2 linked regions of the Oryzias latipes genome follow. The main gene of each other region encodes a partner of the protein of the gene in region 2 in a complex. Links are inferred from orthologs where the notes say so. Each region holds a gene or a part of one and is shown on either strand. Other genes may lie near its edges.

The links.
Region 1: lamtor5 (region 2) and lamtor3 share a complex: the UniProt entries of both Homo sapiens proteins name them as parts of the ragulator complex. The link is inferred for Oryzias latipes from reciprocal best matches to the Homo sapiens genes LAMTOR5 and LAMTOR3.

Annotation. Positions count from the first base shown.
Region 1 is NC_019880.2:24,349,273-24,353,547, forward strand, and holds the start of lamtor3 (ragulator complex protein LAMTOR3), read left to right. Parts: upstream 1-1,461; 5' UTR 1,462-1,527; coding exon 1,528-1,560; intron 1,561-1,644; coding exon 1,645-1,679; intron 1,680-1,834; coding exon 1,835-1,893; intron 1,894-2,260; coding exon 2,261-2,394; intron 2,395-3,040; coding exon 3,041-3,104; intron 3,105-4,172; coding exon 4,173-4,246; 3' UTR 4,247-4,275. UniProt on the Homo sapiens protein: As part of the Ragulator complex it is involved in amino acid sensing and activation of mTORC1, a signaling complex promoting cell growth in response to growth factors, energy levels, and amino acids.
Region 2 is NC_019865.2:10,897,387-10,901,430, reverse strand, and holds the start of lamtor5 (ragulator complex protein LAMTOR5), read left to right. Parts: upstream 1-1,240; 5' UTR 1,241-1,379; coding exon 1,380-1,414; intron 1,415-1,503; coding exon 1,504-1,565; intron 1,566-3,358; coding exon 3,359-3,476; intron 3,477-4,044. UniProt on the Homo sapiens protein: As part of the Ragulator complex it is involved in amino acid sensing and activation of mTORC1, a signaling complex promoting cell growth in response to growth factors, energy levels, and amino acids.

The sequences.
Region 1 (4,275 bases), on a different chromosome or scaffold from region 2:
TTTTTCCCCTAAAACTACATTTGACAATTGGAAGATGAACGTTTGAAGATTTAGTTCACGTCTCACCTGTTCTGAAGAACATGATCAGAAACCTTCTCCTGCCTGAGCTGCAGTGCCTGGAATGTCCTGGAAACAAAGGACCCTGGAGGTGACGACACCCACCTGAGCAATCCACACAGAAAGAAACAACCGATCTGGAGGAGGCAGCTCTGCTGAAAAAAGAACTAATGACTTTTATTGGGCAAATGTTACTGATGGATGGACTGACGACGGGCTTTCAGCAGGGACAGCAAGACAGTATAATAATCTATAATAAGGGATGTTACAATACCGGACAAATAAATCAATATATTGTATCTGATTGGAGACCAAATACTAATATTTTCTTGTAGGTGGCAGTAGCTGCGAAATATTTTAGCTGTGTTTAGAATAAGTTTAAAAGAAATTTCCAATTCAAAATAATTGGAAAATAAAGTTTTAGTCAACTTTATTGAAATATGTTGCCAGCACATTTCGATCAGTTGTAAGTAATGTTAGAATCTTCACTTAGTCCAGAACTATGATGGAGGTTCTAATATATTTTCTATCTACATTTTTCCCAGTCAAAAGAAGACAAAAAACATTAGACTTGGTTTGACCATGGATGAACCATGACGTCTGACCACCAGCAGGGGGAGCAGAGAGCACACGGCAGTTTAAAACAGCGAAGAAGAAGCGTCACGTGACAGCGAAGAAGAAGCGTCACGTGACTGCAGCTCTTTGGAAATTCACGGTGGTAGCATCAGCTGATTGTTTGTTTAAACGTTCAGAGGACCGAGCTCACTGTGGAAACGCTCCGGACGGGCTCGTCGTGTTTTGGATTCGGAGCCGGCGGTTCTCCTGACTTCCTGTGACGGAACCGGCTTGGGTCCTCGGAGCTGCCATGGCGGACGTGAGTCTGTCTGTCCTCCTTTAGCACCTCCTGTTCTGTTAGGCTTCACTAAAAACTCTTTAGTTTTTGGGAAGATGCTCAAAGTTCACTATTCTCTTCTAATTACAAAAACACACAGTATCATGTGGGATGGTTTGTAGGTGATAAATTATTTCATTTGGCATTTAATATTGTATTAATGTTTCATTCACAACAGCAAATTCTTAAAAAAAAATCAAACCATTACTTAATAAATTTTAGAGAGAGATATGTTTTTTTTAATCACTAAAGTTTATTAAAACAAAAGTGCAAAACAGATAAGCTGTGTAACAACCCTTAGTTTTATATTACATTTGTATTAGACTACAGTCCTAATTTTCATCTTTATTTCTTTCTGTTCTATACATGTGGATATGTTGTGTTAAAAACAGACGCTCTACAGAGGTCACGTGACATTTTTCCATTAACTGTTTATGAGAACTAGACTGGGTGACTCCTCCCCCTGGCTGTCCAAACAGGAAGTACCTGTTGGCTCCAAGAAGCCAGAATCCCATAGACTTCTTTGGAGAAATTAACAGCGGTTACTCGGTCACTATTGTCAGTAATGCTGGGTGAAAATGGTGGTGGGGAGACCAGGATCTTCTCTGACGGTTTGAAGCTCTAAAGCTCACAGACGTCCACGTTCTTGACTGTTTCTGAGGTTGCTCCTTAACTCTTTATGCTCCCGTCTGCAGGATCTGAAGAGGTTCCTGTACAAACAGATGCAGAGGTGAGGCTTTTGTCCCTTATTGTTATTGCACAAAGTGATTTACTTTAACTATATAACAAGAAAAAAAAATCTGTATTATAAATCAAATCTCTTTTCTCAAAAAAGAGTTTTTGTATCTTATATCACATGTAAATAGTAGTTTTCTGTGTCCTCAGTGTTGACGGGCTTCACGCTATCGTGGTGACGGACCGAGACGGCGTCCCGGTAATCAAAGGTGAGACTTCTTCTGTTTCGGGTTTTCTGTTCCAATAAACTGTGTTTTAATAACTTATTAGAAATACTTTTGGCCTCAGGGCCAACCTGCTACTCAACAGGAACGCTTTATCCTCAGCCTCAGCAGCTTCTTGTTGTGGCAGTAGTTTCATGGTTTGGGGTGACTCAGCTCTGGCTCCACTCGTACGAGTTTAGGTTAGAAGTCACCAAAGTAGAGCAGAAAATGGATCTAAAAGACTCATTCATCTGCATTTTAGGGGTCAAACTGTTGGGGATTTTTCTGACTTTTTTTTCTGGCCCTGGTCTTTGAACGCACCGCTCACCAGCAGGAAGTCCTCATCCTAACACGCCTGCTTGTTTTCCTCCAGTTGCCAACGACAGCGTTCCGGTGCACGCGCTCAGACCGGGCTTCCTGTCCACGTTCGCTCTGGCCACGGATCAGGGGAGCAAGCTGGGCCTCTCCAAGAACAAGAGCATCATCTGCTACTACAACACCTACCAGGTGACCCCTCCCAGCATCACCGCGTGGGGGCGTGGCAGCCGGAACACCGGCGCCTTTCACCCGCGCTCGCTTCATCCGGTTCCTGCCAGTTTGTGTCCGGTCCGGGTCAGATCCAGAACCAGACTCTAGTCTCCATCGTCTCTTATAGTAACAAACTTCCTGTTTGTAAACTTTTGGGGGTGGGATTAAGAGAATAGCCTCACATAAAAGCAGAGTGAGACGGACTGAAATGAGATGATCCATGGGAGTCGGATCACAACAGAAGCACTAGAGCAGGTTCTGTAAATGTCAGAGGGTTCTGAGAGTAAAGAAGAACTTCTGCTGGGACAGAGAGGAGAAAAGTCTGCAAACGTTATCCTCTGATGGAGCAGACAAAACGTCCAGCAGAGGAAAATCTCAGAATCTGTTGGTCTTCTTTTGTTTTTCATGATTTGTTAAGCCAGCTGAACTTTTTCCTGAGTTTTTTTAAGAAAAATCAGAGAAGTGAAAATATTTGGGTTTTTTTTATTGCTAAGTAAAAAAAAAAACCAAATCACTCTGATGGATTCCTTCTGCTCTGAACCAGCCTAACCCGGCCAATCTCCATGGTAACCAGACTCTGCTCTGGTTCTGCCTTTGTGACCCGTCTGCTGTCTCTGCTCGACAGATCATGCAGTTTAACCGCCTGCCGCTGGTCGTCAGCTTCATCGCCAGCAGCAGCGCCAACACAGGTGAGATGAGGAGGCGTGTCTGAGGAGCCCCGCCCACTGGTTATCTGCAGTCTGTTTGATGTTCTCTGAACAGAGCGTGTCTTAAAATGATCTCAGTCTTCATCTCCGTGCACCCCGCTGTTCGTGTGTAGCTTATTGCTGCATCGTGGGGAAGGAGAAATATCGCCATGGAAACGCAAAAACTTTTACCTGAGGCCTTTTCATCATCCAAATGAAAGAAAGCAGAGAAAGTGACTCAGCATCATCGTCCAAAATATGTTGCAATGTGGTAATACTGGCATTTAAAATACGGCTCAAGAGCCAAGAAGTTGAAGTTTATCTGAGAAAAAACCCGACATTTCAGATCATTTAGTCTGACGGGAATCTCCAGGAATGTTCTGGATTATATTTAGTGAAAAGAAGAAAAAAAGTTCTTGTCAAACCCCTTCTGACAAAAGATGAATCCTGTGAGTCTGACCCATCCTGCAGACTCAGGTGGGAGGGGCCTAATCAAAACCTAGAGTGAGCCCTCCCCCCCTGGCGTTCCAAACAGGAAGTACCTAATCCTACAGAGAAATAGACAGCTGTTACTCAGTCTTTTGATCCGAGTAAGTATTCTTACTCGGATACATTTTTTTTATGATCGTCATATTTTTCTGTGGTTCAAGTTATAAACTGACCAATCAGATAAGAGTATCCATTCGACAGATTTCATGTCTTTTAAGTGGTGGTAGGGGTGTGGAGTTCCAACAAGCTCACTCCTGATTGGTGAGAGTGGTTGCCATAGAAACATGGACTCAGATTGACTTATCGCTGCTTATATATCCTGAAAAAATGGCGAGTGAATTGACTTCATGTGGTTGGAGCTGGAGGTAAACCATTTTCTCTGTGTGATGTCACATTCAGTCCAGTGCTCATATGCAGTCAGGGGATTCTCCAGATAAACCTGATCCTGACCAGGGTAGGGTCAGATTGTTTCCATAGCAACAGACTCCAGTTAGGAGCCATCCAGCTTTGTGAAAATGAATCCATCTGGTTTTTCACACGAGTGGGAGGCGTTTTGTAAAAACCCTCCTTTTCTGTCCTCAGGCCTCATCATGACTCTGGAGAAGGAGCTGGCTCCTCTGATGGAGGAGCTGAGGCAGGTGGTGGAGGTCACATAAAGTCCCATGATGCTTTGCTAAGAAAACCC
Region 2 (4,044 bases):
TGGCCGCAATCGTCTTGCAGCAGAGGGCGGTGGTCACGTGCGCATCGGGTCTGCTGTGTCGGAGCAAAGAATTGTGGGAAATAATCTCCATTGCCTGCTTTTTTCGAAATTGGGTTGAGCACGGATGTTTGTTCTGCCTAATTCATTTTCATGTGCCGGTTTTACGTTGTTTCACTCTGAGGTATTCTTTTTTTTTTTTTTTTTTTTTTTTTTTTTGCACCATAAGTGTGAAGAGCAAATAGGAGGAAGACATTCTTTAGAGTCTGATGTGTCTAAATAAAAGCATTAAGTGTCGGCTGCTCAAGCAATTTCAAATTAAAAGCTCCAAGCTTCCTCTTTGAATTTAGTATGTAGCATATTATGTGTAACGCCTCAGGAACGGCAAATGCCGCCCCCTATGAAGTGCCGCCCTGGGCGACCGCCCACATCGACCATATCAAAAACCGCCACTGCACTGCAGTAAGATAAACAGTTTAAGTCCCACTCCAATAATCATTCGATCTATTTTCAGTGTTTCCAGTACCGGTAGTCTTTTAATTATAACTATGCCGCTTTTAGGCTAAATCAAAAAACCTTTGTCGTTTTCAGGGACATACATAGTTTCTGCAGCGTGGCAGTAGTTCATTAGAAATTCATCTCTGAGTTGTGGGCGGGACTGTTGGCGAGGACTAAGCCAATCCCTGCTTCCTATCATCAGTTTACAGCCCCTCACAGCCCCCAACCTAAAATTATGCAACAAAAATGGCTAGCAATATTGGAGCTATGCAGCCATACCGTTTTGATCCAGATGTCAGCTCTGGCAAAGAAAACAAAGATGTACAAGGATCTAGTCATCTACAAGCCAATCCATCATAATGGAAAATGCTGCTGGTTGTAGTAGCTTGTAGTAGCTTCTACGTCAGATCTGCAGGATATTTCAAATGGCATTTTTGCACATGCTACTGATTCACAACGATTTGAATAAAGAAATACTCAGAAATGCAATTTTAATCTTATTTTTTTTATGTGTCCTGCATCATCAGAAAAATGTCACAAGAATTAAAAAATACACCAAAAATCATTTATTTGAATTAAGCCGTCAATTCTATTCTATTCTATTCTATTCTATTCTATTCTATTCTATTCTACTGAAAACCAATTATTTTTAATTTGTACTAAAAGATACAGTTATCAGTCTGTCTTTAGTTGGTTGTTTTGTAGTTTTGAGTTGGCTCAGCCGTTCGCGCTTCGTCTTGTTTGACCCTGGCGATGTCTCTTACTGTACGTCACAGTCACATGATTGTCAGGAGGAATTTAAGGAAACAAACGTCAACAACAAAAAATACAATTTTTGGGCCATAGAACTTTACATTTTCTGATTTTTTTACGGTTTTCTAAAGATGGAGTCAACCCTCGAACAACACCTTGACGATACGTGAGTTCTAATCTATGCTAACTAGCTTGTTTCTTTACATTTCGTACATTCGTTTGGCTAATTCTCTTGATTTCGTGTTTTTTCTGCAGCATGAAAAATCCAGCTGTTGTTGGGGTTCTATGCACGGACCAACAAGGACACAACTTGGGCTGTAAGACTCTTCAGAGTTAACAGGAAGTCACATCACATGTATTTATTCACGAAGTACCCCGTAGTCGATATTCTCTAGTTCGTCAGTTTCGCTAATAAATAAATTCCCGCAACAGTTTAGTTTCCCCAAAAACACAAGTTTCCACCGCCAGCTGTTTATGAGAGATCATGTTGTTATTTCTGATGTTTTAGTCTTTAATCTCATTAGAGAAATGTTGCCAGTGAGTGAGAGAGGCAAAGATGTAACTCAGAAAGAAGACCCATAGTGTTTAGGTCAGTGCAGATCATGTGTAGACATCTGTCTCCTAAAGACATCCTTTGCTTACATAACGGGATGTGTTACTTTTTCCAAAGAGGCCCATATTTGCAGTGAATCTTAGAACTATTTGAAACACATTAAATTAAATATACTGCAATGGGATACTTTTCATGACATTTCATGATTACATGACAGTCTTCACATAGAAAACAGACATCTAACTACGTTTTTACCAAAATTACTGTCACATTTGTATATTTTTTGCACAGTTCATTCACAGTTAGCTTGTCGTATTAGCATGTCTTATCTGGTAGTTTCTCTTGATATTGAACTCCATGAAAACAGCCACAGTCTTCTGGCCCATTAGGCAGACACAGTTGTTTTATATTTCACTGAAAAAATGTTCAAATTTTCCATTTGTCCTTTAAGAGGTTGACCCTTAAAGAGCTAGAGAGTGTCACAAAAGGGTCGCACAACAGTGTTTCCACAGGTTTATAAAGTCTGATTTAGCCAACCACACAGCTTTTAGATATTGTTGCAGGACGCGTTCTGTTGATTTTATGTAGGAGCCTACGGGCCGGTGAAAATTTGAAAGGGGGCCGGATTTGGCCCACAAGCCGGACTTTGGACATGCCTGGCTCTCATGACTGATCGACTGTTTTCCGTGTTGAAGACCTGAGTCGGAATAATTTAAAAATGGGTCTTCAACTGAATAAGTAACAATTTCCTCTTGAGGCAAACTGATTTGATCTATTATATGATAGTAACAGTTCAGACCAGCAAACATAGCAAAGAATTCTGGCTCACTGTGGTGGTCTGATCTGCTGCTGGTTATTACACCTTTGCTGCCAGATGTTAAAGCTACATGTTAAATTATCACACTGTTGGTGCTCTGACATTGTAAAAACGTGAAATCAGATTTACTTTAAGAAAAAAGTTAAATTCTAAATAAAGACTGCAGTCCAAATGAACTGATCTGATGAGCAGAAGGATGCATCTAAAGCAGGTCATCATTTAAAGTCCCACTCTGATCATCTTTTGATCTATTTCAAAAGCATTCCTAGTCTTTTATTTATGATGAAGCTGTTTTTGACCCAAAAAAAATAGTCATTTTCCAGAACAAAGTTTCTGCAGAGCAGCACTAGTTTTTTTAAAAATTCACCTCTTGAGTTGTGAGCAGGACTGTCGGCGTGAAGTAAGCCCACTTGTCGTCACTCATCTGTTTACTGTTTACATGCTCTCCTGCTAGCTTTCAGCCCTTCAGACCCCAAGCCTAACATTAGCGGTACATCAAAAATAGCGAGCAGTATCAGAGCTATACAGTCCTAGAGTTTTTAACCCGATAACTGCTCGGATGAGAAAAACAAAGACGTCCATGGATCTAGTCTGGATTCTGCTGATTCACAACGATTTGAATAAACAAATCCTGAAAAATGCATTTTTGAATATGTTCTCCATCATCAGAAAAATGCCAAAAGAACATGTTTAAAACACAATTTTCATCAGAGCGGGTCTTTGACATATTTTTTTTTTAGGTCGTGGATCTCTGTCAGATGAACATGGAGGTGTGGTGTCTGTTCTGGCTAAACAAGCAGCTGCTCTCACCAGAGACCTGACGGACACACCGACTGTGTGCCTAGAGTCCGAGTCAGGGTGAGCCATGGACTGTGCCTTTGCACAACTTCTTCTATTTCTTAGTTTTAGTGCATTTAAGGTGTGCCTTTGTAGTTTTAAATGTGGAAGTGTACAAATAAGAGTTCCAAGACGCTGTGCAATCAGCTTCAACTTCTGTGCCACAGAGGTGCAGCAGAGATGAGCATCCTCTATACCTGCTGGTCACGTGGGAGACCATGCCTAATTATTTTTCTGAGTATTGGCTCCTCTATACTATTCATGACTTTTGGAACTTCCGGATGTTGGAATATAATAATTTCCCCACCTCCTCAATACTGTACATTTAAGTCATTTAATGGATGATTTAATTCAAAGTGGCTTAACAGTGAGATACAAAACAAACCATATTATCCAGGATTAAGTGGTTGTGAGGGTTAGACTCATGGATAATCATATAGGCAGACCTGGATTTGAGTATTTATTTTTTTGGACTATGCTGCCACCTTCTGGACTCTTTTAAACTATTGAATGTAGTGGAATTCCCACCTCTGAAATGGACTTTGTCATTTGGAATTAGAAATTTACCAAAAACACAAGTAAATAGAAT